Linked DNA regions of Macaca fascicularis. The protein of the gene in region 3 purifies or fractionates together with the protein of the main gene of each other region. This does not show direct contact. Links are inferred from orthologs where the notes say so. Each region holds a gene or a part of one and is shown on either strand. Other genes may lie near its edges. The genes, in order: CCT3, INTS9, PPP2CA, PPP4R1, INTS12, TIPRL and CCDC6.

Evidence for each region.
Region 1: the proteins of PPP2CA (region 3) and CCT3 purify together in Homo sapiens (affinity purification with mass spectrometry; 4 studies listed by BioGRID and IntAct, with this or other methods). This does not show direct contact. The link is inferred for Macaca fascicularis from reciprocal best matches to the Homo sapiens genes PPP2CA and CCT3.
Region 2: the proteins of PPP2CA (region 3) and INTS9 purify together in Homo sapiens (affinity purification with mass spectrometry; 3 studies listed by BioGRID and IntAct, with this or other methods). This does not show direct contact. The link is inferred for Macaca fascicularis from reciprocal best matches to the Homo sapiens genes PPP2CA and INTS9.
Region 4: the proteins of PPP2CA (region 3) and PPP4R1 purify together in Homo sapiens (affinity purification with mass spectrometry; 3 studies listed by BioGRID and IntAct, with this or other methods). This does not show direct contact. The link is inferred for Macaca fascicularis from reciprocal best matches to the Homo sapiens genes PPP2CA and PPP4R1.
Region 5: the proteins of PPP2CA (region 3) and INTS12 purify together in Homo sapiens (affinity purification with mass spectrometry; 4 studies listed by BioGRID and IntAct, with this or other methods). This does not show direct contact. The link is inferred for Macaca fascicularis from reciprocal best matches to the Homo sapiens genes PPP2CA and INTS12.
Region 6: the proteins of PPP2CA (region 3) and TIPRL purify together in Homo sapiens (co-immunoprecipitation; 4 studies listed by BioGRID and IntAct, with this or other methods). This does not show direct contact. The link is inferred for Macaca fascicularis from reciprocal best matches to the Homo sapiens genes PPP2CA and TIPRL.
Region 7: the proteins of PPP2CA (region 3) and CCDC6 purify together in Homo sapiens (affinity purification with mass spectrometry; 4 studies listed by BioGRID and IntAct, with this or other methods). This does not show direct contact. The link is inferred for Macaca fascicularis from reciprocal best matches to the Homo sapiens genes PPP2CA and CCDC6.

The regions. Positions count from the first base shown.
Region 1 is NC_088375.1:104,736,503-104,741,192, reverse strand, and holds the start of CCT3 (T-complex protein 1 subunit gamma), read right to left. Parts: upstream 2,942-4,690; 5' UTR 2,824-2,941; coding exon 2,793-2,823; intron 236-2,792; coding exon 174-235; intron 1-173. Other genes in the region: TSACC (TSSK6-activating co-chaperone protein), read left to right, coding at 4,380-4,413. UniProt on the Homo sapiens protein: Component of the chaperonin-containing T-complex (TRiC), a molecular chaperone complex that assists the folding of actin, tubulin and other proteins upon ATP hydrolysis.
Region 2 is NC_088382.1:32,072,327-32,076,905, forward strand, and holds the start of INTS9 (integrator complex subunit 9), read right to left. Parts: upstream 2,972-4,579; 5' UTR 2,876-2,971; coding exon 2,867-2,875; intron 1-2,866. UniProt on the Homo sapiens protein: Component of the integrator complex, a multiprotein complex that terminates RNA polymerase II (Pol II) transcription in the promoter-proximal region of genes.
Region 3 is NC_088380.1:140,718,788-140,722,193, forward strand, and holds the end of PPP2CA (serine/threonine-protein phosphatase 2A catalytic subunit alpha isoform), read right to left. Parts: intron 3,319-3,406; coding exon 3,200-3,318; intron 1,640-3,199; coding exon 1,567-1,639; 3' UTR 890-1,566; downstream 1-889. UniProt on the Homo sapiens protein: Catalytic subunit of protein phosphatase 2A (PP2A), a serine/threonine phosphatase involved in the regulation of a wide variety of enzymes, signal transduction pathways, and cellular events.
Region 4 is NC_088392.1:77,938,523-77,942,499, reverse strand, and holds part of PPP4R1 (serine/threonine-protein phosphatase 4 regulatory subunit 1), read left to right. Parts: intron 1-219; coding exon 220-326; intron 327-3,977. UniProt on the Homo sapiens protein: Regulatory subunit of serine/threonine-protein phosphatase 4. May play a role in regulation of cell division in renal glomeruli. The PPP4C-PPP4R1 PP4 complex may play a role in dephosphorylation and regulation of HDAC3.
Region 5 is NC_088379.1:111,409,177-111,413,153, reverse strand, and holds part of INTS12 (integrator complex subunit 12), read left to right. Parts: intron 1-1,664; coding exon 1,665-1,852; intron 1,853-3,014; coding exon 3,015-3,174; intron 3,175-3,977. UniProt on the Homo sapiens protein: Component of the integrator complex, a multiprotein complex that terminates RNA polymerase II (Pol II) transcription in the promoter-proximal region of genes.
Region 6 is NC_088375.1:25,845,791-25,849,767, reverse strand, and holds part of TIPRL (TIP41-like protein), read right to left. Parts: intron 1,192-3,977; coding exon 1,012-1,191; intron 308-1,011; coding exon 208-307; intron 1-207. UniProt on the Homo sapiens protein: May be a allosteric regulator of serine/threonine-protein phosphatase 2A (PP2A). Isoform 1 inhibits catalytic activity of the PP2A(D) core complex in vitro. The PP2A(C):TIPRL complex does not show phosphatase activity.
Region 7 is NC_088383.1:86,717,142-86,721,780, reverse strand, and holds the start of CCDC6 (coiled-coil domain-containing protein 6), read right to left. Parts: upstream 3,228-4,639; 5' UTR 3,158-3,227; coding exon 2,855-3,157; intron 1-2,854.

The DNA.
Region 1 (4,690 bases), on a different chromosome or scaffold from region 3:
GGAGGGCTTCCTTTCCCCCACCATCATCAGGAAAATGTTCTGAAAGAAGAGGTCAACTTTTCCCCTATTTGCTCACTCTATAAAGTCTAGATGCACAGGACACACGGCTATGACCAAATACCAGGGAAGATAGCTGGAGACAAACTACCATAAACACTTAAAAGATTTGTGACCTTGGCAGCATTGATGTTTCCAGATTGAACTTTTCTTCCAGATTCACGCTTTGTGTTCTGGCCTAAAATAGATAAAAACACAACAGTTAACAGCCCAGGACTGCCCCATCGTACCCAAGCTATTTATTTCCCAGTCTTTGAAAAATAAGAATGCAGGTTTCACGGTGTATCCACAGAGCAAAGCTTATCAAACTCTACACTTTAAATAAGTGCAGTTTATTATATGTCAACCATATCTCAAAAAACTGTAAACATATGTCCCTATGGCTGTTTACTTCCTTCTGTATTTCAACCCTTGATGTATTAAGAAATAACTTTGCAATCTTGGTTAATACTTATCTTCTAACCAAATATTCATATATTTACAGCAGGGATTCATAACCTGAGATCCATGAATGGGCCTTAATGGGATAGTGAACTCCCTGAGATTATGTGAGAAAATGAGAGAGACTGCAATTTTTTTTTTTCCCCCAGAAAAAGGATCCACAGCTATTTATCTTAAAGGGCTGGTGACCCTAAGAAATGACCATTCATTGCTTTATGTAAGCAGGGAAAGAGTTTGGGGATTCACATTTTCTGCTTGGATAGGGGGATCATACTCTAACAGGTTCAACATAATTAGTGATAGTGCCCCCACAGTACACTGTTTAGAACACACTCAACAGTATGCAAGATAAATTATATAGTCACCTCATAACTGGATGTAATAAGAAGGCCTCAGTAACCCATTTACCACCACTAAGAACTGACTACATACTTTAACTGGGAGCCTAATTGGTCACAGTCAACTAATGCCAGAGATTAATGCAGATCTGAAAGGAGCTTTGCAAATACACCACTCACCCCCAGGTCATCCCAGTGGAGACAAGCCAGTGGTTACAACCAAACCAACATAATGTTTATTTCCTTCCTCTCTCTAAATTACATTCCCTTACAATTTAAGTCTGTAAATCTTTCAATCCAGTCCCATCAAACCAAAACACCCACAATGCTTAGGATTTACATCTATCTCAGGGAGCTGTAACCAAAAACCCGCATGGACCTACAATCCATCAGAAACAAGGTTTTTTGTTTGTTTGTTTTTGAGATGGAGTCTCGCTCTGTCGCCCAGGCTGGAGTGCAGTGGCGGGATCTCGGTTCACTGCAAGCTCCGCCTCCCGGGTTCACGCCATTCTCCTGCCTCAGCCTCCTGAGTAGCTGGGACTACAGGCGCCCGCCACCACGCCCGGCTAATTTTTTATATTTTTTAGTAGAGACGGGGTTTCACTGAGTTAGCCAAGATGGTCTCAATCTCCTGACCCTGTGATCCGCCCGCCTCGGCCTCCCAAAGTGCTGGGATTACAGGCGTGAGCCACTGAGCCCAACCTGGTTTTTTTTCCCCAAAATAGCGTTAAGTTTTATTTTATTTTTTTCCTTAAAAGTTATTTCCCAGGTACAGAGATAATGAATAAAAACTCTGAAAGGCATTCAGTATACAGAAGACGGTAAGGGAGGAGAGATGGCTAGTCAGGCTCTGCAGATGAGGTACAGAAGTTACACACAGAATGGAAACATATCAAAGGAAGACAATGGAGGTGGTGCTCATTAGAAGAAATAAGGGACCAGGCGCGGTGGCTCACGTCTGTAATCCCAGCACTTTGGGAGGCTGAGGTGGGCGGATCACCTGAGCTCAGGAGTTGGAGACCAGCCTGGCCCACATGGTGAAACTCCAGTTCTACCAAAAACACAAAAATTAGTCTGGCGAGGTGGCGCGCGCCTGTACTCGCAGCTTACTCGGGAGGCTGAGGCAGGAGAAATGCTTGAACCTGGGAGGCAGAGGATGCAGTGAACAGAGATCGCGCCACTGCACCCCAGCCTGGGTGACACCGCGAGACTCTGTCTCAAAAAATAGAAAGAAAAAAAATAAGGGATCTTCCAAAGGGAAAAGATGACCAGTCGAGAAATCTGGGAAAACCCAACTGGTGAGTGGGAAAGATTACAACGCCGGGGACACGGAGGGAACGATTACATCTATGATCAGTGAAGCAAGTACGGTTACTTCTAGAACAGGGGTTGCTGTTCAAATGACTGTTACTGAAAATAAATGTAACGTAAAGTGACCAAGGATATTACCTATTCACCAGACCCTCTTCAAGCAGTCTGCCCACTTATCTCATTTAATTCTCACAATTCTACTAGGAAATACTATTAACTCCGTAACACAGATTGAAACATTTAAATGACCGCTACTAAGGGATGGGCCAAGGATATAAAGCTAGACCTAACTGAAAAAACAAAAAACATTATTCATGCAACTATATAGCGACAATCAGGCTAGAAAGGGTGCAGCGGCGGGGGAAGCGTGGGGACTGAGGGACAGAACGCGGAGTGGGAAGAGCTTCCCAAGACGAGCACACGTCAAGAAAAGAGGCTCGGCGAGAAAAAGGTCAGTTTGAGTTTGTGAAGAGAAGCGAATAGGTTAAGGGAAGAAAGGAAAGCGGGACACCGGGCTTCCAAAATGAAGATGATGACTGGAAGGCTCGGGGGCCGGGTCAGGGCGGGACGGAGCTGAGGCAACAGAAAACCATGGACGCAGAAGGGTGAAAAGGGAGTCCCTTTCCTGGTATCCCCAGAACTCACTGAGCACGAGTACGGGACGATGGCCCATCATGGCGGCGCGATGCAGAGCCGGGTACCCAGAGCTGGGCGAACCGGCAGAATCTTCTGGAGAGAGAGAACCAGACGGAAACCCAGAAAACGCTGCCTCCTCAGGGCTTACACCTTAACTCGCTACTCTCAAGGTAGTCACCAATCACCGCACCTATCTCATTGATCGGCACAAAAACAGACCAATTGACATCCTGAGTCCCGCCCTCTACGCAAGAACGACCAGACAAGTTAGGCAGAGAGAGCACGATGAAGGCACTGGGAGGGCACAGGCGCTTGCGCAATAGGGTGGCCGCTCCCGGCCGCGTGCAGCGCGAACGTCGGCGCAGGCGCCAAGGCTCTGGCAGTTGGCCGGCACGCCACTACGCATGTGTGTCAACTCTAGGGTTGGGTGCTGGGGTTGCGGCTTTCGGTTAACACCGCAGGTGAGGTCGTTAAACTGTGTATTGCGACTCGGCTCCTATCCGACCGTGAAGGCTAAGAAAGGCTTGACAGTTTCCACTCTTTTGTTCTAGCCTTAGCAATAGGTGGACTAGAGAGGCGGGACTCCGGCCAGCAGATGGGGGAAGACCTGGCCGGCTTGGCCCTGGGTGAAGTGGGAGTTGTAGTCTTACAGTGCGGGACTGGGCAGCCTTTTTCCGGGCACACTGGGAGTTGTGGTTTATCGCATCTGGACTAATGGCTGTGTGTGGACTTTTCCCTTCTTAGGAAATGCTTTCAGTGAGGCTGTGAGCAGTACCGGAGGGTGATGGCTTGCGTTTCCTTAAGTTACCCTATCTAAAATATTTTCCCAAGTATTTCCGCCGGGCGCTGTGGCTCACGCCTGTAATCCCAGCACTTTGGAAGGCCGAGGCGGGTGGATCACCTGAGGTCAGGAGTTCGAGACCAGCGTGGCCGATATGGTGAAACCCCGTCTCTAATAAAAATACAAAAATTAGCCGGGAGTGGTGGCGCGCGCCTATAATCCCAGCTACTCGGGGGGCTGAGGCAGGAGAATCGCTTGAACCCTGGAGACGGAGGTTGCAGTGAGCTTAGATCGCGCCACTGCACTTCAGCCTGGCGACAGAGCGAGACTTCATCTCAAAAAAAAAAAAAAAAGTATTCCCTGTGGTGCTTTGAGATTTTATTTCCCCACATCCATCCCTCTCCCGCTGTCCTCAGTCTTAGTTAGAGATGATGGGGAGCCAGAGTTTTAAAATTACCATTCGGGATAGGAGAAGGACTCATCATACCGTGGAAATTAAAACATGGTGAGAACACGGAAAGTAATTGCCCGTTCATCAGAGAGGTTTAAGGTTTGGCTTTGGTTAAATTACTATTTTGTCCAGAAAAAAAAAATGAAGCACTGGTATAGAAATAACTGTTTTCCAAACTAGTGAAGGAGAACAGTCACGCGTTTGGCCATGAAATAGAGTTTCCTACTTTTTCCTCCGCAGACTGGAACAGCCTGAGATCTGCTGGAGACAACTTAGGAAATTGTCATAGTGAAAATACTAGCATGGATTGTTGATCATCTGATGCTATGATTCTTTCCCAGGCACCACACCTGTTGGTGTTCAGATGGAGCAGCACACTAGTCATCCTAACAGAAAAGGTGTGTGTTGGAGGCCCTGCTTCCCCTCCCTTAAAAAGCAAGACCTCCTTTGCATTCCCCATTAAATTGGGAGCATTGCTGTATTCCCAGAACCTAGAACTGGATCTGTTAAATAGTAGATGCTCAGTAATTATTTGTTAAATGAATTTATTATTCTTCCTTTGTATCTTCTCTTAATACTTAGAACAAGATTGTGTACAGGATCTTAGAAGACATGGTGTTAGCTAGAGTGAACAGATACTGAGTTATAGTGGGACAGTTCCATTGGTGGCCAGGG
Region 2 (4,579 bases), on a different chromosome or scaffold from region 3:
GGATGCAGAGGAAAGAATGAATTTGACAGGGTTAAGACTGAATACAGGGAGACCAGATAAGGGGTCTTGTTGAATTCCAAGCAAAAAGAGCCCACTACAAAGACAGTATTCTAGTTGGACTGGAGAGGAACAGAATCTATTTAAGAAAGTTTCATTTAGGAAGTAGAATCAATAAGAGGTGGTCATAGATTGTATGTGGGAAGGGTACTCTGGAAAGTCAATCTCAAAAATGAGAAAATGTTAAACAAAATTATGTATTTTTGTTTCATAATTATAAACTTAAAACACAGCCTATCACATATTCCTGAAGCAGTACACAAAATTAAAACTTTTAGGCCATGGGAGGACTTATTACCACCATTTGGGAGGCATGACGCATCAACCTAACTTACTGAGCAACAATGCTTTTGGTATGTTGATGGAAATTCTCAATTATATGTATCTATCAACTACCAAATAAGTTTTAGTATGTAATACATAGTTGCAAAGTAAAGAGAGAGTATGAGTATCAGTAGAAGACTTCCTTTTCCTCTGAGGCATCTTTGGTTCTTAATGGAAAAAATAATTTTCCACTTTTTTACTTTTTCCTATTCCCTGGTTTCCTATTTCTAAATAAATTAAGCAGGATTTTATGAGCAAACTAAAGTATACGTAAAGTAAACTCTGGCTTTTTTTTTTTTTTTTTTTTTTTTTTTTGAGACGGAGTCTGGCTCTGTCGCCCAGGCTGGAGTGCAGTGGCCGGATCTCAGCTCACTGCAAGCTCCGCCTCCCGGGTTCACGCCATTCTCCTGCCTCAGCCTCCCGAGTAGCTGGGACTACAGGTGCCCGCCACCTCGCCCGGCTAATTTTTTGTATCTTTTTAGTAGAGACGGGGTTTCACCGTGTTAGCCAGGATGGTCTCGATCTCCTGACCTCGTGATCCGCCCGTCTCGGCCTCCCAAAGTGCTGGGATTACAGGCTTGAGCCACCGCGCCCGGCCAACTCTGGCTTTTTGATACCCTCACTAATGAGTTGTTATGGGAAAAACTATTTCACACTTCCCTGCCTTCTTAAACTGAACACACCAAGTATAATTTGTTCTTTATTGAGAACACAGGGTCTGTGCTTTAGCCAATAAGTTACCAAGGTCTTCTGCTCCTATAAGCTGACTTCTTTCATGGAAGGTCCTGGCTTACTTATCCTTCTTATCAGCTCAAGAGTCAGTCACCTTTCCAGGAAGCTGTCCCTGACCTCCCCAATCTTCTCTCAGTTCCCAAAACCCTGAACACGCCTCTATTTTACCTTGAACACAGTGAATTATAATTTCGGACCAGGCACGGTGGCTCATGCCTGTAATCCCAGCACTTTGGGAGGCCGAGGTGGGCAGATTCCTTGAACCTAGGAGTTTGAGACAGCCTGGGCAACATGTTGAAATCCCATCTCTACAAAAAAATCAGCAGGGTGTGGTGGTGCGTGCCTGTATTGCCAGCTACATGTGGAGACCGAGACGAGAGGATCGCTTAAGCCCAAAAGGTGGAGGTTGCAGTGAGCTGAGATCGCGCCACTGCACTCCAGTCTGGGCCCCACAGAGCCAGAGCCTGTCTTTAAATAAATAAATAATAACTTTGGTTTACTTTTCATCTTCTTCTTAGGTTGCACGCTTCTGTAGGGCAACTGCTATGACTTTTAATTCTGCATTCTTAAATGTATAGCACACTGACCCAGGAGTAAATTGCTATTCTCAAGGTTTAGTGACCCGCATCCTTCCTCTTACATAAACATCTTTACATGGAGACAATTTCAGAATTGAATCCACTTTTAACACTTTGACTACGCAGAAAACAGCTGGCTTTGCAGAGTATATGCCTGTAACACAATGATTATCAAGATGAGGGTAGGTGGGTTGTGTGGTTTGGAAAAGCATATTCAGATAATTATATAAATGGTAAAATAAACTTTTTTTTTTTTTTTTTTTTTTTTTTGCTTACTGCAACCTCCGCCTCCCGGGTTCAAGCGATTCTCCTGCCTCAAGTAAAGCTTGACAGTAACTTGGCTGCACGAATATGGATTTTAAAAGGTTGATAAAGAGAGTTTCACACCTGCCTTTCTACACTATGTTATTACTAATTGAATCGAGTTGGAATAAACTAGTCAGACCTGTATGCACAATGAGTCAAATGGCTCAAATCAAAGGTTTGAGAAGTCTCTATGAGCCAGGTGCTTGAGTTGTGTGATGTTAAGACTTCAGGTATACCGGCACACTTCATCCAGACTTGGCTCATGCAGTCCCTACAGTCTTAGAATGGAATACCATATAACACTTCTCTCCCCATCTAAATCCCAGTTAGGGTTTAAGACTCAACTTCTCCACACTCTGACCTCGTCCTGAATACCAAGGGCAGTGAGGAGTCTATACAACAGGATATTTAATAAGTGATTACGTTCTGCCGAATGTTTTTTTTACTGTCTGCTTAAATCTAGCCAAAGTTTCAACAACAGTAGGGAGACAGGCTACTCAAGCGCCAGTCGAATGGAAAGGGGTTGTTAACAGCCTATTATAACCCTAACGTGGGAGCCAGGACGTCCAAACCTGGTTAACAGAGCCCACAGAGTTCATAGGGGAAGGACTGTGACCGAGTCAACGTCTTGTCTGAACAAAAAGACCCACCAACGAGTGAAAGAAGACCTCCTGGGAGGGATAGGGGGGCGGGAGAGGGAATTCAAGCCTTCTTAACAACAAAAAGCAGCTTTCTTTAGCCCACTCCACTTTCCAGCTACTTAATTGCTACCCCTCCTGTGTGACGATTCCCTGCCCAAAGTAGGAAAAAAAGAGGTCCAAAAGGATATAGCATCAACTTTGCCCTCTGACCTAGGAGCGAAGACTCACCAGTTTCATAATGGACTTTTGGTGGTTCAATAGCAGTCACTGAACTCCTCAAACGCAGGAAGCGTCTTCCGGTGCAATCTCCGCCACCTGCCAGCCCAGAGCATCGCGGGACTTGCAGTCTTTCATTCTCACGTCCCTTCCAGGGGAATCATAGGAAATGTAGTCTCCCCTCCAGGCACCATGGGAACTGTGGTCGCCTTTCCTTTTCCTCCGTTTCCTCTGCGGACGCCTCCTTCCGTCAGCTCAAATTCATCCCCGCCGCCCTCTCCACCCCAGCATGATATCATGTCCCCATTACGCGCCTGGAGCCCATGGTGTTCTGGGATGTGTAGTCCCGACGGCTCCGGGTCCCCTTTCCCCTCCTCCCAAAGGGAAGGCGGATGGGCACGGGGCTTGCCGGGAGTTGTAGTTCTCTTGGGCCTCTAGGCGCCGGGCTCCGCGCTTTTACTCGGGGGAGGCAGGAACTACAACTCCCAGGGACGCCGGGCGGCAGCAGGTGGGAGCGGGGCTGTTGATATCAATATGGCGGTTGTCAGCCAGACAAAGACAGTCAGTCTGATGTGATTGAGACAAGGGAGGTTTTTCAGGGGGAGACTGGGAGATAGGGGCCTCCCCTCCCCCTTCTCCTCTTCCTGCGTCGGCCTCAACCCCTCCCCAGTCCCCTCCCGACGGGCACCCCACGCGGAAGACACCCCTCCCCCTCCCGTTTTCCCTCCTCCCTACCTCAGCCCTTCGTACTGGGACGTTGGGGAGGGGGCTCTGCCGGGCGGAGAGAACTCAGCGAGGATTCTGAGGTGAGTCGAGCGGTTTTGAAGCCGGACAACCTCAAGTCTCTTTCCTCACTTCTTTCTCTTCATTTAAAACAATTTTTTTTGGAGGGGTTTTGGGGAGGAAGTGAGCGGACGCTGGGGATGGGTCTCGTTAGCGGCCGGATTGAGAGGAGGGAGGAAGCAGGGGGCTTCCGAGTGGGTGATCCAGACGCGGGCTGTGGGGTGGGGCAGTTCGTGGGGGCCGGTCCTGGAAAGGCGTCGACTGCCCCCCAACTCTTCTGGTTTCCTCTACTATGAGCGGAAGGTTTGAATCCTGGAGGTGGGGTCTCTGGTGTGGAGTTCGAGAAACTGTGAGGTGATTTGCAGGTGTGTTGGTTTGTTTGGGGTGTGGAAGTGTGTTTAAACTGTGTGACGTGTACTTGTGTGCTCTGCTTGTTTTGGAGCGGTGTCTGTAGATGAGAAGTTAGACAGCGCGAGTCCTCGCTCGCTCTGGGCCTGGGCTGAGGGGCGGGCGTGAGGTCCTGGTGCTGGGCATTTGGGCTGGCGACGTGGTGCGGGGCAGCCGGGCTTAGCAACTCGCTCGTGTCCCGTCGCCCGCTCACACTCCGCCACTCGCCTCCGCCCCCTCCCCTGGACGAATCTCCACCCCAAACTCCAGCCACGAGAACTGTAGAGATGGTGTGATGTGGAGATGGGTTTTTTGCATCCTTAAGTCGGTAGATAGGTGGGAAAGGAAAAGTGTTTCTTAATATTTTATTCCGGAACCGTGTTTTGGTTACACTATTGGGGCTACTTTGAAAGGCGTCCTCCACCCACCTTCACCCCGAAACAGTAGGTAGAGGTATCTTGTCTTCGTGTGAATTAGATGAATAATTGCTGAAGATTCGGGGGGGCCTGGGGTGGGGGTCGGGAGTGCTGGATTGTGTACGCGTCTGTGTATGTC
Region 3 (3,406 bases):
AGCATTTTAGAAAAGGGATATGCTATAACTTCCCTGTTGGTTCCAGATTCAACACAGCACAAAGCAAGAAAACTTTTATTTACTACACTCACAAGTATGATTAAGTGTTCCTGTTTACTCTGGTAGGTTAAAATATCAAATATTAGTTCCCACAGAAGAACTGTTTTTTAACATCTAATCCTATTTGGAGGATAAAAGGGTGGAAAAACTCAAATGTTGAACACTGCCACTTTAAGTACCATTTTTGTCTTCAGGTGAACGTACATAAGACTAAACCATGATCCAACAATAGTTTTCTATTTGGTTTCACTAGTATCACTCAAAGAACTTGACACAGGCTAATGCTTTAACACTTTCTTATCGGAGACAAATTTAACTCTAAGAACATATGACTCAACAATGTACAAAGATTTAAGAATTTGCCAATCTGTCAATCATTTTAAAGAGTCCATATAATATACATAGCAATATAATATTCATAACCAGAAACTGCACTAAGTAAACACATCATTTAGTTTGTTAAGCTCTACCTGAAAACATGCTGTTTTATTAAAACAAAACCCAAAGACTTAAATCTCAAGTTATATGGTTTTACAATTAAGTCTTACTGAAGCAGCACAGATTTCCTTTCTTACAAACAAATTAATATGCAGGAAGAACCCACAAAGTGCACACCAACAATGTGACAAACTGTAATATGTGAAATACAAATAAATCCTGAAGTTAATCTGAAGAATGTCAAGGAGTTACCAGAGGTTATGTAGTGCCCTTGATTTTTATTTTATCTACAAGTCTACAAATTCTAAAATTTACTCAATTGATTTAACTTTTTTAATAAACAGCACCAGTCTTGCCCATTGATACAATTAAAATTTGACCTTCTCAGTTCTTAGTTCACAAGTTTATTATGAAAAACACTGCAGTGCTCTTGTGCAGTCACATCATCTTACAGGAAGGGAGAAAAAAACAGTTCTGTTCAAAACAACTCACCAGGTTCTGACAATAACAAAGAACAACATGGGGCTGAGATTTGAGTAGGGAATAAACTGAGTGCAGACAAATCATATAATTAAATTAAACGGTATCCCTGAAAATAAAAAGAACGATTTCAAAACTCACAAGTAGAAGGGAGGCCTTGGTACTTATTTTTAAAAATGTTCATTAAGCTCCAATGATTGTTTGCTGCTATCCTTATCTACAGTCATGCTGAGTAAAGCTATAGCTAAATGGAAGTTAAATTGTATTCACGAGGTGTTAATGTTTACATCTTATTATCTGCAGTCTCTCAGAGAAAGCAAAAGTAACTACAAATAGCGCTATGCCAGAAACTGGTTTCTTGACCAACAATGTCGCTTCAGCATGCAATGAACTGGTTCATTCTAAAGTGGTCACGGCTGTTGATGACAAGAGGCTTTGTATTTTTATATGGCACATCTTTTGGTCCATGTGAAAACAAGTTTTTTGAATGTTAACTATTTTCTGACACTTTGGAGTTACTGTTGCTCTTCCCATTTCCATTAGGTCGATATATGGTTCATGGCAATACTGTACAAGTTTAAAATTTCATTACAGGAAGTAGTCTGGGGTGCGACGAGTAACATGGGGCTCGCCTCTACGAGGTGCTGGGTCAAACTGCAAGCTGAAAAACAAGACAGATTCATGGTTTATGTTCCAAGACCTCCATGTACTGACAATCAAAATCAAGAACATGAGTCTTTCAAACTTTACACTTCCTATCCAATTTCAGCTTGTCTTAATGTAACAGAACCCTAATGATAATGGTCTGTTAACCGTACTCCCCTTGAAAGAGTCAAGGCAAATTCAGCCACAGAGACTATGCTTTTATAAAAATATGGTTTTTACCTTGACTGAAATTTCAAACAAAACAAAACATGGTTGGCGGGGCGTGGTGGCTCACGCCTATAATCCCAGCACTTTGGGAAGACGAGGCGGGAGGATAATGAGGTCAGGAGATCGAGACCATCCTGGCTAACACGGTGAAACCCCATCTCTACTAAAAAAATACAAAAAAATTAGCCGGGCACAGTGGCGGGCACCTGTAGTCCCAGCCACTCGGGAAGCTGAGGCAGGAGAATGGCGTGAACTCGGGAGGCGGAGCTTGCAGTGAGCTGAGATCGCGCCATTGCACTCCAGCCTGGAGGACAGAGCAAGACTCCGTCTCGGGGGGGGGGGGGGGGGGGGGGGGGGGGGGGAAGAAAAAGAAAAAACAAACAACAAAAAAACACAAAACATGGTTTTAAAAGTGAAAAACCTAGTAATTTATACTAGGATCTATATATAATAAGTTCCTGTGGGTGTGTTTCAATGTAGGTCCATTCAAAAACTTAAAAATAAAAGTTGGAATCTAACATAGTATAATCCCTTAATAAACTCTTTTTTGAGATGAAGTCTCGCTCTGTTGCCCAGGCTGGAGTACAGTTGCGGTATCTTGGCTCACTGCAACCTCTGCCTCCCAGGTTCAAGAGATTCTCCTGCCTCAGCCTCCCAAGTAGCTAGGATTACAGGCATGTGCCACCACGTTGGGCTAATTTTTGTATTTTTAGTAGAGACGGGGTTTCACCATGTTGGTCAGGCTTATCTTGAATTCCTGACCTCAGGTGATCCACCCACCTGAGCCTCCCAAAGTGCTAGGATTACAGGCGTGAGCCACCGTGCCTGGCCCCCTTAAACTCTTAAACCTCACATTTAACTATGTATTCAGGCTGGGCACTGTATCTTTTTTTTTTTTGAGACAGACTCTCACTCTGTCGCCCAGGCTGGAGTGCAGTTGTGCGATTTCGGCTCACTGCAAGTTCACACCATTCTCCCGCCTCAGCCTCCTGAGTAGCTGGGACTACAGGCACCCGCCACCACGCCTGGCTAATTTTTTGTATTTTTAGCAGAGACGGGGTTTCACCATGTTAGCCAGGATGGTCTCAATCTCCTGACCTCGTGATCTGCCCACCTCGGCCTCCCAAAGTGCTGGGATTCCAGGCCTGAGCCACCGTGCCTGGCCGGCACTGTATCTTATACTTGTAACGCCAACACTCTGGGAGGCCAAGGTGAAAGGATCACTTCAGCCTAGGAGTTTGAGGTAAGACTGGGCAATATAGTGACACCCTCTCTCTCAAAATAAATAAACAAACCAAAAACCTACATATTCAGTAATGCAATAAAATGTTCAAGTAGAAATACTTACAAAGAGTATTTTAGAGTATCGTCAAGTTCCATGATTGCAGCTTGGTTACCACAACGATAACAATAGTTTGGAGCACTGAAAATTGTTACTACATTTCGGTCATGGCACCAGTTATATCCCTACAAGGAAAAGGAGGCAAAAATCTTACTTTACTCCCTCAATTCAACTAAATGCTACTTCACTCAAGAGAGAAAAAAATCTCTACTC
Region 4 (3,977 bases), on a different chromosome or scaffold from region 3:
TTAGCCAGGTGTGGTGGTGCATGCCTGTAGTCTCAGCTACTCAGGAGGCTGAGGTGGGAGGATTACCTGAGCCAGGGAAGTCAGTGCTGCAGTTAGCCGTGGTCGCACCATTACACTCCAGCCTGGGCAACAGGAATGAGGCCCTGTCTCAAAAAAATAAAATTCTGGATATTAGCTGTTGATGCCATTGAACATACGTAATCTTGTTTTTCTGTGTAGACAAATGGTGGCCCGGAGTTTGCTGGATACCTTGAGGGAAGTCTGCGATGATGAAAGAGATTGTATCGCTGTTTTGGAAAGAATTAGCAGATTGGCCGATGATTCAGGTATATGTTCATGTGGAGAAAGTGAATTTACTCTGTTCTAGAAAGGTTTCTTTGACCAAATTTGTGTTTCTAAAAACTAATGAAAAAATTAATGTGATATGAGATGGCTTTAAAATCTTTCCTAAGTAATTATCAAAGCCATCCATGACAACAAAAGTAAAATGTGTTACTGAGACCTGGACATTTTACAGTAGTCTCATTTAGTTTAATTTTAGAAATTTCTCATCAAAACAAGTCTAAAAATATTGTTTTGCATCATGTATATTAATATTTTAGGATTAATAATATCTAGAATAATTTTGAATACATTAAAAGAGATGGAGAAGGCTATAAATTGTTTTTTTTTTTTTTTTTTTTTTGAGACGGAGTCTCGCTGTGTCGCCCAGGCTGGAGTGCAGTGGCCGCATCTCAGCTCACTGCAAGCTCTGCCTCCCGGGTTTTTACGCCATTCTCCTGCCTCAGCCTCCCGAGTAGCTGGGACTACAGGCGCCCGCCACCTCGCCCGGCTAGTTTTTTGTATTTTTTAGTAGAGACGGGGTTTCACCGTGTTAGCCAGGATGGTCTCGAACTCCTGACCTCGTGATCTGCCCGTCTCGGCCTCCCAAAGTGCTGGGATTACAGGCTTGAGCCACCGCGCCCGGCCTATAAATTGTTTTAGGCAAATATAGAAAGCTTGCTTTCTGTGTGGTTTCTCACTTTCAAAAAATGTTGGTTAACCATTTGTAAAACTACACCTGGTTTATCTCCAAAGTGAAAATGAGAAAGTCTGCTTAAGAAAGAGGTAAACTTGATGTGAAGCTTAGAAAATGGTGATGTTAGAGTTTTTACAAATATGTCTTTTGTTGTAGTAAAATATACTTAACACATGAAACTATTTTAAGGTAATATTAAGCATATTTTTATACTTGATTTTAGAAACAATCCAAAAATAAATTCTAAAACTTTTTTCCTTAAATCTGTTATCTTTATTAAAGTATATTTTCCATCTCTGACAGACTTTTTGGCATCTCAGCAAGCCCCATCTTTTAATTTTTAGACAAACTCATCTTTTGATGAACAGTTCATTTTAATGGGAATATGTTAAATGTTTACATAAGCCTTAAATGTTCCTAATATTCTTACAGGGTGGGTACAACATTTATAGGCTTAACTGAGCAATAGTCTACCTTTGTGTACATAATTGCTTATGTATATGCTTGCTCTAAAATGGTTTTAGGAGGGGTCTCATCAAGTATAATTTTTACTTATTTTTTAAATTTGATTTAAGTTAACTAACAATTTAATGTAAATTCATGGCACTGTTAAGCCTATTATGGTTTTATTCCTTAGTAAAGACAGATATTTTAAGGATGGATTTGTGTTTTCCTTTATCTGTTTACCAGCTCTAGAGTTTTTTTTGGTAAGTGTGTGGGGGTGTGTGTGTGTATTTTAAAATATGTTCTCACATTGGTAAGTTCATAGTAAATGTCTCTATTGACATAATTCTATTCATTCAGTATACATCAAACAGTACCTACTCTATACCAGGTTCTAGATTAAATGCTAGAGCAGTCATTAAGGTGAACAAGGATTTCTGTCGTCAAATTAACAGTTTAGTGAATGCAGCCAACATATAAACAGTACATTACAGTGGGAAGGATCGGGGCAGGCTTCAGAAAGTGAGTGACGTTTACGTTGGATTTGATAGAATCATGAGGTATAGAGAGGGGAAAGGGCGCACCCAGGAGAGGAAAAGACAGAGGAGTTCAAGAAGGTGGCCCGTTTGGTCAACAATGAGGCCAACCTGACAATGAGACTAACCTGCTGAGTTTCCAGGTTAGAAAAATTAGGCTGTTAAATAAGGTAGGTGAGGGCTAGATTGTAAAGGTTTATAACAAACCATGCTGATGACTTTACCTGTTTTGTGATTTAGAACAGTGTGGTGTAGCAGTATGAACTGATATGGTGAAAAAGATGGGTGACAAGAAGACTAATTGGAAGACTATACCAATTAATTGGGTGTTTTTGTTTTTGAGACAGTCTTGCTCTGTCGCCCAAGCTAGAGCAGAGTGGCGTGATCTCCACTCACTGCAACCACCCCTGCCTCCCAGGTTCAAGCAATTCTCCTGCCTCAGCCTCCCGAGTAACTGGGATTACAGGCATGCACCACTACACCCAGTTAATTTTTGTATTTTTAGTAGAGAAGGGGTTTCACCATGTTGGCCAGGATGGTCTGGAACTTCTCTAACCTCAAGTAATCCACCTGCCTCAACCTCCCAAAGTGCTGAGATTACAGGCATGAGCCACCGTGACCAGCCAGTTAATTGTTATAAGGATGAATTGTTGGATAGAAATTGAAGTGCTGGGAGGGATTCCAAGGCTAACCTCCGGATAGAGTGAGGAAGAGAGAGGATTTCACCCTGAGGTTTCTAATTTGTAGGACTGGGCTTATTGTGATATCTGGGTAAGATAAAGACTATTGAATAATATAGCTCTGAAGTGAATGAAATATGTATCCTTTGTTTAGACAAATAAGCAGCTGAGAACCTTTCAGTCTTCTGCCTTACCTTTCATTAGCTTTTATCTTGATTTTTTTATTCCCCAAAATTTACCAACTGCTTTTATTATTTTCCCCTGGAATGGATGGATGTGTAGTGGTTTCTCATTGTGGTTGTAATTTACATTTCCTCAATAGCCAGTGAAGTTCATACCTGGTTATATACTTACTGGCTATTTGGGTATCCTTTTTTTTTTTTTTTTTTTGAGATGGAGTCTCACTCTGTCATCCAGGCTGGAATGCGGTGGCACGACCTGGACTCACTACAACCTCCTCCTCCTGGGTTCAAGTGATTCTTCTGCCTCAGCTTCTCGAGTGGCTGGGATTATAGGCATGCACTACCACGCCCACCTAATTTTTGTATTTTTAGTAGAGATGGGATTTCTCCATGTTGGCCAGGCTGGTCTTGAATTTCTGACCTCACGTGATCCACCCAACTCAGCCTCCCAAAGTGCCGGGATTACAGACATGAGCCACCATGCCCGGCTTCTTTTTTGAAATGTCTAAGTCTCTTCCCCCTTTAAAAAATTGGCAGTCGTTTTCTTACAGATTTACAGGAATTCATTCTGCATATGAGCCCTATGTTGTTGATGTGTATTGAAGATATCTTTTTCACTCTGTGCCTTGTGTTTGCGCTCATAGTGATGCTTCTTAAAGAAGAGAAGTGCTTTTCCTTTATGGGTTGTGCTGCTTTTGTCTTCTTAGAGATTTTCTCCAATCTCAAAGTCATAATAAATATCTTTTCCTGTATTCTCTAACACAGAGAAGCCTTATTGTTTTTTGCCTTGACATTCAGATCTGTATTCCACCTGGAATTTGTTCATGTGCATGATATGAAGTGGAGGACAAGTTTCTTTTTTTTTTTTTTTTTTTTAATATGAGGAGCCAGTTGACACAATACCCTTTATTGAGAAGGCCATCTTTCCCAGTTCACCTTGTAATAAATCAGTTGTCTATACATGCATGTGTCTGTTTCTGGGCTTCCCCCCCCCCCCCCCCCCGCCCCATTAGTCTATTTGCCTAAGCAGGGCTTTGAGGAAAGAAAAGTTGCTTATTTCATTTTTAACTGAAACCATAACTTATGTCCTTCTTTTGCTTCAAAAATATAAGCAATT
Region 5 (3,977 bases), on a different chromosome or scaffold from region 3:
ATTGCTTGAGCTCAGGAGTTCAAGATCAGCCTGAGCAACATGGTGAAATCCCATCTCTACAAAAAATACAAAAATCATCTGGGCATGGTGGCAATTACCTCTAGTCCCAACTATTTGTGGGCGGGTAGGGGGTGGAAGAATTGCTTGAGTCCAGAAGGCAAAGATTGCAGTGAGCGGAGATCATGCCACTGCACTCCAGCCTGGGTGACAGAGTGAGGCGCTGTCTCAAGTAAAAAAGCAAGCAAGCAAGAAAGAAAAGATAGGAGAGTATAGATGTAAATGACTAAACATAAACTTTATAGAATGGTATGCACCTGAGCAGGGCCACGGATGATTCTTGGATTGTCTATTTTTAGATGATTTCTACATATAGTAATTAAGATTTTAGTTAGAAAAAAATACATTTGAACGATATCTTCAGTAACCTTTGCCCTCAAGATGGAGTATATTATCCTGTATGTTTTCATACTTTTGCTAAATAGTGGCTATTCATAAACTGCGTTAGATTATTTCTCTGCTTTTAGATCTACATAAATGAGACTGGGCGTGGTGGCTCATGCCTGTAATCCCAGCACTTTGGGAGTTTGAGGCAGGAGGATCACTTGAGGTCAGCAGGTCGGGAGTTGGCCAGCCTGGCCAACATGGCAAAACACCATCTCTACTTAAAATACAAAAATTAGCCAGGTGTAGTGGCGCACACCTGTAGTTCCAGCAGATCGGGAGACTGAGACATGAGAATCACTTGAACCCAGGAGGCGGAGGTTACAGTGAGCAGTTTGTGCCCCTGCACTCCAGCCTGGGCAACACAACAAGACTCTGTCTCAAAAAAAAAAAAAAAAAAAAAATTATGTAAATGATATCATACGGTGTGTGTGTATATCCTTTGGTAACTTTTTCTCCACTCAACTATGTGCTTTTGAAATGTATCTATGTTGATGCATGTAGATCTAGATTTCTTTTAACTACTACATAATACTTACTCTGTGAATTAACCAGCTTATCATTCCCCTACTGATGCACAGTTAGATATTTCTCCTTTGTTTCTATTACAATGGAGTTGAAGTGAGCTACTTTATACAAATGTCATGTTAATAGTTTCTATAGGATGTATACCTATAAGTGAATGTAATAGGATATGACATCTTCAACATTGCTAGGCATTGCCAAATTGTTATCAAAAGTAGATGTACTAAATCTACACTGTCATCAACAAAGTACAAGAATTCCAAATTCCATGTCTTATCAGACTTTTTGATTTTTGCCAAATCTAATGGGTATATTGATAATATTTATATCTTAAAGAAGGGAATCCGAATTTGCTTTGAAGCAAATATGTGTTAAGTCTGTACAGTAGATACTAGTCTAAGTAAATCCATCGAACTTCCAGAAATCTTTAATAGATAGAAGAGTACAAAGAGAAATACAAATCTTTGTTAAACTGTTCTGATTTATTTATTTCTGTCTTGCTGGTTTCATTTAATGTACCGATAAATTCGTTATAATTCTTCTACAGATCGTTAATGTGCACATATGTCCCAAACTATGTGAATATATCTGTAAAATGGACTTGATCATTGCCTATTGTCCTTTTTATTCATCTTTCAGTGACTTAAAGTTTATTCTACCACATCACTTTATCATTTTCTGATGCCTGCTTTTTATAGATGAAATCAGACATCACTGAAGGAGTTGATATTCCAAAGAAACCTAGATTGGAGAAACCAGAAACACAGTCCTCTCCCATTACTGTCCAAACTAGCAAGGATTTAGCTATGGCTGACCTTTCCAGTTTTGAGGAGACCAGTGCTGATGATTTTGCCATGGAGATGGGATTGGCCTGCGTTGTTTGTAGGTAAGTTGTCCCTTGCCACAGATTATTTTGTTACTTTATGAAGAACACAGGACCCCTTTCCACTCCTCAACCCCCCAAATCAGAACAATTGTGCATTTTCTATTTTGTTTTTACGATTTGAAACTGGGGTGGAGATAAGTAGATGTCTTATGAACTGCCCATGTAACAATTTAACATATTGAAAATTGTCAAATATTATGTCTTTACCAACTATGGCTTTTAAATCCGTTATGTTGTAACATTTTCTGCATTTTTGGGTTCCAGAGGGAAAGTGATTATTATATTATGATATATATGCCTATGATAATCTAAGGCTATGGTGACTGCCTTTTGTGCTGTTGGAATTTATACTTTTTTATACACATATGGCTTCATTCTATTAATCTGATCAGACATTCATTGAGCACCCTATGTGTGTGCAGTAACGTGCTAAGGACTGTGAATAGTTAGGTCCACTTCTCACCTTTAGGTAACTCATATTAATGAAGAACAACAACAACATATAGCTAACTAATATAAGGGAATTTAATAGAGATACAAAATGTTATGAGACTGTTGGAAGACTAATCAGAGTCTACTACCTTCTGAGAGAAAGACAAAAATTATAATGAGAAATGACAAGGAGAAAATAGCCAAATTTAATCATGGCATTCCATGTATTTATTAATGGTTGACCATAAGCTTTAAAAGCTTATGCTTTTGTGCATGCTATGTGTTGGAGTTTGTTATTTTGATCTTTGGGTTTCTGGGATTTTTTTTCTTTTTAATATACCAAACTTTACTAGAACAACCCTGAAATAACATTTTTTTTTTTTTTTTTTTGAGACAGAGTCTTACTCTGTCACCAAGGCTGGAGTGCAGTGGTGTGATCTTAGCTCACTGCAGCTTCCATCTCCGGGGTTTAAACCATTCTCCTGCCTCAGCCTCCCGAGTAGTGGGGATTATAGGTGTGCACCACCATGCACATCTAATTTTTGTGTTTTTAGTAGAGGCAGGATTTCGCCATGTCTGCCAGGCTGGTCTTGAACTCCTGACCTCAAATGATCCGCCTGCCTTGGCCTCCCAAGGTACTGGGATTACAGGCATGAGCCAGTACACCTGAAATAACTTTAAATTATTGCATTAAAAAAGTAGTGTAATGTTTAATGGTGTGTTTTCTTAGGCAAATGATGGTGGCATCTGGCAATCAATTAGTAGAATGTCAGGAGTGCCATAATCTCTACCACCGAGATTGCCATAAACCCCAGGTGACAGACAAGGAAGCGAATGACCCTCGCCTGGTGTGGTACTGTGCCCGATGTACCAGACAAATGAAAAGAATGGTAGGAATCGTATTTTTAATTTTAAACAGTCTGTCAATGTTTCTGTTGGTATGTGCTTTCAAAACAAAGATTTGAATATTTAAGATATTGAAAAAATAAATAATATAAGTTGATTATTTAAATGTTTATATGTATAGTATATATATGTGATTAATATTTCTATGGCTAAAAACCAGACCACGTTATGTGCATTTTTCTCTGTTTAGTTTTATCTACTTCTAATATAGATAAACAAACAAGATTGGTGACATACAAATTATGAATATTCCTTACTAGTCTGTCAATGTATTTATAAACATTTTAATATACCATGCAGCACTGAGAATTGGTGAGATACAAAGCGCCACTCTTTGTTGAGGTCTGGTAAGGAAATATAGAAAATTCCTGAGTGAGCTTAAACCACCAAATGAATAAGATGTGTACAGAGGCGATATTTATATGTGCATATCCGTCTTTCCAGCTGCATTTCTCTATTGCTTAGTCTTTCCTTCTCATTATCCTCAAGTGACCATTACCTCATTCTTCCAACATACTTTCTCTTTTTACTGTTCACTAACATACCTGCCTTTAATATCATAGTGAAATACATTTTCATTTGTTATATTGGATAGTTTTCTAACTTTTATTCACTTATAAAATAGATAAATGATAAAAGAATTTCATAATTTTCTTTTAAAGAAAACAAGAAATTGCCATAATGTCTTATTCGCTACCTCTCCCTCACACTTCCATCTCTCTTCCCCTGCCTTAAATTAGTGATTCTCAATTGCAGAGTTCTCATGTCTGTTAATCAAATGAATTTC
Region 6 (3,977 bases), on a different chromosome or scaffold from region 3:
AAAATAAATTTTTCCATTAAGGCCATCTTTTATTTTCTGCTGATAAGTCAACAAGCAAAACCCCCTCACATTACGTTCTGAGGGATGCCACAACAGAAAACAAGGACAATAAAAGTAGTTGCGAAAAATAACCCGTTACTAGAAAGTTCTAATGCTCAGACTGTCCAAGACAATTAATGACTCATAAAAGAAAAAAGTAAGATTTACCTTTAACTTAAGAGATTCTCCAAGTAAGGTTCCCTTATAATCTGTTGTATAGGTCCAATCGTATGGTTTAATAACCTCTTTGGAGTGTTCACCCTCCGTCCTCAAATACCAAAATGAGAAGGATCAGATTCAGTGATGCAGAATAGAGATTATCTGTATTTATATATCACATCCAATTATATTCTACAATAACATAAAATATCCTATTAAATATATACACTTGTTATAATTCACCAGTACAAGGTTTTTCTTACAGTTTTTCTACATTTATCGTTCTTTAACTTGTCATGTACTGATGTAGTCTTTTCAATTAGTCTGTACACTGCCTGAGGACACGGTTTAAAGGTTTATACTTCTTTGTATCATCTAAGGTACTTAGTACATATTAGGCACAAAGTAAATAATTGCTGATTTGACTATCAAAGAAAAACATGCTGTCTTAATTTCAATGCTTCTCAAATAGGATATTTATTAAGCATATCATAAGTAAACATTTTTCTTGAAAAACAGGAACATTAAATATAGCCTACTGCCTCTTCAATAAGGAATGCTGAAGAATTGAAAAAGTACATAGCTCAGCTCAGTTGTAATTCACTTTAATAAGAATTCAAGTAGTGGGGTAATTAACTTCCATTTTTATGTCTCAGAAAAATGAATTCTAGAATGATACAACTCTCATGTTTAATAATACCAGTTCTTCATTCTAACGACACACACGTATCATTACTGAATATTTTTTCAAGTCTTTCTCTTTTGTTTAACCTAATTATATTTTTTGTTTAACCTAATTGACCAGATTCTCACCTGCTTTCTTGCCACTCTTCAGCACAGGCCACTTTAAGCATTCCTTGGTAGTTGTTTACACATCTTAATGCATCTGTAGCATTGAACTCAATTCCAAAGCCAGAGCCATGCTGGATTCTTAAAACGTTGTCTCCAAACATCATTTCAGGGAGAGATGGCATATGTAATTCATCGGCTAATCTATACATAACCAAAAGTCATGTGAGATAATTTTATATCGCTGTTGGCATTTTTGTTTCTTTTCCAACCCAGAGAATTCTTCCTACATTGCTGAATGAGTTACACAGCGTATGATTTAATCAATATGATATATTTGCAAGGTCTACAAAATGCTTTCATCATCCATTCTTTCGTTATCATATCTTATGGCACTGTACTAGGTAGTGGGCTAAATAAGATAATATACAAACACAGATATAATAGCTTATTATATTACTATAATATATAGCACACAGATATTACTATAATATATATCATGAAGGTATGAAGAGAAGATAGCAAAGCAAATAAAGATACTGTCCCTTGTAGGAAAATAATTTTTCCACTAAAATTTTCAATTGTTGTAAGTTTCAAAAAGTGGTGATGAAAAAAGCAAAAGCACCTGATACTGATGAGGGAACCCAGCACTTGCCTATACAGACTTTCAGAAGGATTGTGTCAATTTACATTTCACCCTGGTGCAACAATCAAGCAAAAAATAACAGGAATTTAATAAAATCTACACACTTTGACCCAAAGTATCAGTTTTAGGATATCTGTACTAAAGAACAATTCCAAGTACAGAAAAAAACTATACACATTAATACTTACAATGGCTTTACTTATAATCGTGAAAAAGAAATACTCTGAATGTTTCATTATAAAGCAATAAATGATTATGGAAACCAAAGTATATCCATATGATGAAATATTACGGAACCATTACAAATGTTTAAAGAGAGAATATAATAATATGGAAAAATGCTTATGATAAAATAGTATGATCAAAATGCGTATGATAAACAAGACCTATGGCCACGCAAGGCAAGGATTAAGTCATGCCCGACAAACCATAAAATCTCATTAAATGGTTTTTTATGTGCAATGGTATAATGTGCCTTACTTTCCAACCTGACTGGTATAGCATCACAAGACAGACAGTAGGCCCCCTTTTCTTAAGCATTCCTTTCTACTGACTTCAAGTCTTTAAACAAAGCTTAACACTGTTTTTTGTTTGTTTGTTTTTGAGACAAGGTCTTACTCTGTCACCCCAGGTTGGAGTGCAGTGGCAAGATCTCGGCTCACTGCAACCTCCGCCTCCCAGGTTCAAGTGATTCTCTTGCCTCAGCCTCCCTCGTAGCTGGGATTACAGGCATCTGCCACCATGCTCAGCTAAGTTTTGTATTTTTAGTAGAGACTATTTTGGATAATCTTGAACTCCTGACCTCAGGTGATCCGCCCGCCACAGCCTCCCAAAGTGCTGTATACACATTGTATATTTTTTACATCTATATGTGTATTTCTGTGTGCACATATCAGTGATCTAACTTTTTGAGGTACAGGTCTTCAGGATGATACCTAACAATGTTACCTTTCATCATAATTTTAAGTAAAATTTATTCTTTGTTATTAGGAGATAGAAAATATTAAATACTTAAAAGATTAGATACAATAAACTGTAATTGGAATATATATTACATAAGATTCCATAAAATAAGTTTTAACTTGAATAATGCATACCAAATGTGAAATAATACGTGAGTCTGTGGGTTCTACCCAATACATCTGGAAAAATCTGGCAGTCCTATAAAATATTCCACTCATATATGTAAAAGAATCACTGTTACTAATTTACAGTCCTTCAATGTTCTAAATATAGAGTTTCTTAAACACAGGCCAAAATGCCCTATTTCTTTTTTCTTTTTTTTTGAGATGGAGTCTTGCTCTTTTGCCCAGGCTGGAGTGCAATGGCATGATCTCGGCTCACTGCAACCTCTGCCTCCCAGATTCAAGTAATCCTCCTGTCTCAGTCCCTCTAGTAGCTGGGATTACAGGCACGTGTCACCACGCCCGGCTAATTTTTGTATTTTTAGTAGAGACAGGGTTTCATCATGTTGGCCAGACTGGTCTCAAACTCCTGACCTCAGGTGATCCACCTGCCTTGGCCTCCCAAAATGTTGGGATTACAGGCGTGAGCCACAGTGCCAGGACTGAAAATGCCCTATTTCTAACATCAAGTTTCCCTCTTAAAAACAGGTATAACCAGTTATAAGGAGAGAAGACAGGAAGCTCCTCTGGTTTTAAGGTGCCTTAAATATTCATTAAAGGGAGTTTCTTTAATCCAATAATTTACCCAATCAATTTATTTAGCACCTTAGCGGTTTTTACAATCTATGGTAATGCATCACAGAAAAATTTAGGATTGGTGAGGGTAAGTCTTCCTTTTGTCATATAAAAAAGGCAGCTTTTTTTTTTTTTTCAGTGGAGGGGACAGAGTCTCACTCTATCATCCAAGCTGGAGTGCAGTGGCATGATCTCAGCTCACTGCAACATCCACTTCCCAAGTTCAAGTGATTCTCCTGCCTCAGCCTCTGGAGTAGCTGGGAGTACAGGCCTGCACCACCACTCCCAGATAATTTTTTTTGTATTTCTAGTAGAGGCAGGGTTACACCATGTTGCCCAGGCAGGTCTTGAACTCCCGACCTCAGGTGATCCGCCCGCCGCGGCTCCCAAAGTGCTGGGATTACAGGCGTGAGTCACCGCGCCCAGCCTCAGGCAAATTTATTTTTTAAATAATACATAAGGAGATTATAGGTACGGAATTTTATTCCCTTAAAACTCTCCATGCATACAGCCATCTCTGGAGAATCTGTAAGTAAATTACATGCAGGCCCCAGTTTGAAGCTGACTGCTTTATATATAACTATATATTGTATTATGTTGGTGCAAAAGTAATTGTGGTTTTTAATTGCAAAACCGCAATTACT
Region 7 (4,639 bases), on a different chromosome or scaffold from region 3:
TAGACTTTGGGTGATAATGATGTATCAATGTAGGTTCACTGACTAACAATGGACCACGATGATGTAAGACGCTGATGGTGGAGGAGGTTGTGCCTGTGTGAAGGCAAGGGTTATGTGGGAAATTTCTGTACTTTATGTTCAGTGTTACTCTGAAGATAAAAGTGCTCTAAAAAGTAAAGTCTATTAAAAAAACAAGTGGCGGCAGGGGGAGACTGTCTCTTCCCCAGGGAGTGACAAAAAGGCAATGTGCCTTCCTGAACATGCTCAAGGAAAAAGAAGGCCACAATCACCTTTAGTGCCTAAGAACATGAACATTAATATCACAATTGAAACTAAAAAGAGCCAGAAAGGCAATTACCAGAATTATGGTACCATCTTCCCTTCAAATTAACAGTGAAAATTCTAACAGTGTTTTCACAGTGAAAAATCTAACAAGGTCTTCACTTAATTATCAGAAACTTCCTAGACTGCCACTAGCAAGGGTAATGCTTAAGTGAGCAATGTCAGGGATTGTACAGCTTAACCTTGATATAAACTACTAAAGTGTAGTTCAATGGACTCTCTGCATTCACAGACCAATTTCATGGAGTCACATACATTTCTCCTCCCACATTACATACCTGAGGGGTCAAACGTACCCCTACAGAATCTGGATCCTAGGTCAGTTAACACCTGCAAAATCTTGAAGGAATCTATTTCCTGCATTTATCATTCAGCTCCTCAGTAACAACTGCCAAGTATTAGGAAACCAGGCGAACCACAAGCACTTTTTTATTTGTCTCCCTGAATATATTAGTCAGAGATTAAAGAAGAACTGAGAGGCTTCTGGTACTTGTGCAGTGTCATCTAAAACAATTTTAACTTTACTCATTAACACCGCACGACATTTCACAAAGTATATTCGGCTGGATGTCAGTTTTAGTTAAGGGTAAGTGCTAAGAAAAAAAGCCACCACCTTATACACTTTTCGAGCTAAGTACTCAGAAGGCCTCTGGTTTGAAACACAGGGAATGAACACATTTGTTCCTGCAAAGCCAACATGTGTAAGTACAGTTTACAAACCTACTTATAGTACGGTCGAAGTGTCAAACAGATAACCCTTTGATAGTCTCTGCATCCCTCATTCCTCCCTCCCCAACAAAACCAGCCTGAATTGCCTACTGCATGCAAAAGGCTATTTCGCTTCGTGCAAGTTTTACTACTTTCCATGGTTCACAACCTCCAAGACACTAACCCTCTCATTTACTAACTCAAATCTTAAATAAACTGCCTCCACCAACTTCCCTCTCTTCTTAACCCCCACTCAGCAAAGACATCTCTGTCAGCCAAGAAAGCTGCATAGGAGGCTTGGAAGTGGCTGCCTCTGCAAATTCCCCGCCCCCACCCCCCTTCCTACCAAAAGGGCAGTTCAAGAACTTTACCATCTCACATGCAAGTTGCTCCAATTCCATTCTCCAAAATTGGATTTGAACATGAAAAGTTTCTTTTTACAATCAACTGCTATTTAGGCTACTGATCACACTTAACCTGCAATTTGCTTTCTACACAAATTAAGAATGCCATCTAGTTCTCATGTATGAGCCAGCATTGGGGGTATACACACTCGCGCACATATATACACAGGCTCCTCCACCGTAGGCTATTTCCCGGCGCAAGGGGCATCCTAAACTTGCCCCATTTCCAAGATGGGACCCTCCATCCCCAAATTCAACCCTTTTTCTTTATTTCAAAGTTCAGCCTAATCCGCTATTTTGCAGCAGCTATGGCAATTTATCCCCCTTGATTTCTTGACATTTTCTTCTCTCCTCCTGGCTGGGAAACTTCTGATTTGAATACAGTTGTCTGTGTGGGGATCCTGCATGTTAATGATGTGGTGAGCTGGCAGGGATGATAGGTGAGAGTACACAGTGTACTTTTTCTAGTTACGTTTCGCCTCATCACTGCTATACGGGCCTTTCTAAACGCTTGCCACACCAGGAGAGACCTGCAGACCCAAGCTTACCCTTTTCTGGGCAGCCTCCAGGGACCAGGTAGAAACAGAACTGATGGCCTGTTCTCCAGTATCTAGACTCAGAAGCAAGATGCTCCTAATCACTCTACGAATGGAGCGAACACACGTACCTCTGGCTCAGCCAGGGAGTCACAGTGGCTACCCTTCCCCTGGTTTCGGCCCCAGCCCTGTCCAGGCCTGAATGCTGCACTCTCCTCGCAGTAAACCGTCCACCCTCCCACTCCAAGGCAAAGAGCTTCCAATGGAGGTGGGAGCATTAGCTTGGTACCCGCCCTTCCCTCTCGATCCTGGCCAGAAAACTCCACTTCCCGGATTCCCGGCCACTCTCTCCCGCCCCGTACCCGGGCGATCCAGCTAGTGCCGTCCAGATGCCAGCTTAGTACCCAGCCCAGCTGCGAACCCCCACACTCCGAGCCAGGCCCCAGTAAGATATCCCAGCTTCCGCTCTCTCCCCCGGACTGGGGTTCCCCAGATTCTGGACGCACCCCTCAAGCATGCTAGGGCTGAAAAAAGTCCTACCCCGCCCCCCAGCCACGCCGCCAGCCTCCAGCCCAGCCCCGGAGGGGCCTCTTCTCCAGAGGCCAAAAGGGACCATGAATGGTTGCCACAGTAGCCTTCCCCCGCACCGCGCAAGGGTCCTCAGCCCCGCGAGGAGGACAGACCCGCGTGGCCCCGAAAGGACACCTCCCTCTCCTCCCAGAGGCCAGCAGGTCCCCGCAGGGAGTGTGCTCTCAGAGGGTCCCCGGGAATCTGGGGAAGACTGGGGGTTGCCTGGATGCGGGTGCAGCCCCTCCCGGGCCGGGCGGAGGTTGGCGCTGCGGCGCGCCCCCGGGGGGCACTCACGATGGTCACGCTGGCTTTGCGCAGGTCGCGGTTCTCCTCCTGCAGTGCCTTGCACTTCAGTTTGTAGGTCTCCAGCTCTATCTTCAGCACCTTGTTCTCTTGCTGCAGCGAGGCCAGGCGGTTGGTGAGCTCCTCCAGGCGGAACGGCGAGATGACAATGCCCCCCGACTTCCCACCGCCGCCGCCTCCCCCGCCGCCACCGCCGCCGCCCGAGGTCGACGAGCAGGACGACTGCATGGCGGCCGAGCTGCTGCTGTTGCCCCCCGCCCCGTCCGTGTCGCTCTCGCTGGCGCTGTCCGCCATGGCCGCGGCGGGCTGGGGAAAGGAGGAGGAGCAGCAGGGAGGCGGCGGCGGCGAAGGCCGGGCTGCGAATGAGTGGGCGCCGGGCGAGCACAGGGGAGCGCCGAGCTGAGCGCCTGGCACCAGGGCGCAGACTCGGAGCGGCGGCGAGAGAAAGAGAGGGCGCTTCCCGCTGCCAAGGGACCTCCTCTGCCAGAGAACAGAGACCCCGCCCGGGCTTGGGCAGTATTGCACTGGGGCTTGCTCCAGCCGGGCCGGGCGCGCTCACTAGGCCGCCCAGCAGAGCTGGCTGAAAGCTCCGGGACCCGCCCGCCGCCGCCTGGTGACCACGGGCGGGCTGGGAACGCGCAGGCACTGCGGGTGCGGGAAAGCCAAGTACTGCCCCCGCACCACCAGCTCGCCAGCCACACGTGTTCCAAGGGAGGGCCTATGAGCCCCCTGGTCTAAGCCCGCGGCCGCCCAGCCTCTTCCGGGCTCGCGCCCGCCCCAAGAAAAAAGAAACCTGATGCCCCACCAGCCTCGCAGGTGCCGAGGACACGTGGAAAGGTCAGCCGGGCTCCGGCGCCCATCCTCTACCGTGTTGTGGCCCCATCTTCCGCCGACTGTGTGTGCGCGTGTCTCCCTCTATCTGTTTCACACATACACGCAGTTTTATATTATCAAAAGCAAGGTGTTTTTGACTGGGAAGGCTTGGATAAACCTAAGAGAACAAAGTTCCTCTACAAGAGGCCGAGGAGGATGAAACAACAGCAGCCACAAGTTAACCTTGTTAAGAAAGAATTTGCGGGAGAGACACACACCCCCTTTAATAACCTTATAAACCACACTGCGCTCAATTGTTTAAACAAGGTGCAACTGTTTTTTTTCTTTTTCTCTTTGCATTTTGCAAACATTTCCAGCACATGTCACGCAGTAGGATTAAGGCAGTAACATTTATCTAATGAAGAAAAAAAAAAGGAAAGCGAAACACTTTTAGCAGAAGGTTGAAACACCTCTTTAAGTGCCAATTTTCCAAAGTAACCGCGGACATAACATTATGCTATAGAAATAGTAATGATTGAGTGGGAGTACAACATCACCCTTCTTTGCTATCCTGTTGCTCACTCCTAGAAAACTTTAGCATGTAAAAATAAAACAGTAATTACTACAACGCGGTCTAATTCAGGGTTCTAGCTTTGCAGTTTAAGAAATTAAAAATCAAAAACTTTTATTCCCCCTCCCTCTTCCCAAAGGCTTGCAGGCAATTGGCCCAGCAGGTGAGATGATTCTAAACACTTTGCCCTGTTGACACAAAACAGCTTTCACTTATGTATAAAAATTGGAAAGTGAAACTGACCAGACTAGTTTTATTACCCATGCTTAGTTAACATTAGAACAAACACATGGAAACAGAAAATAGAAAAAAAAGTGTAATTTTGTTTTCTGTTGCGTTGAACTTTCTGAAAGATTTCTAAAGCGTTAGGAAGAAGGAAGAATGATTCTTAT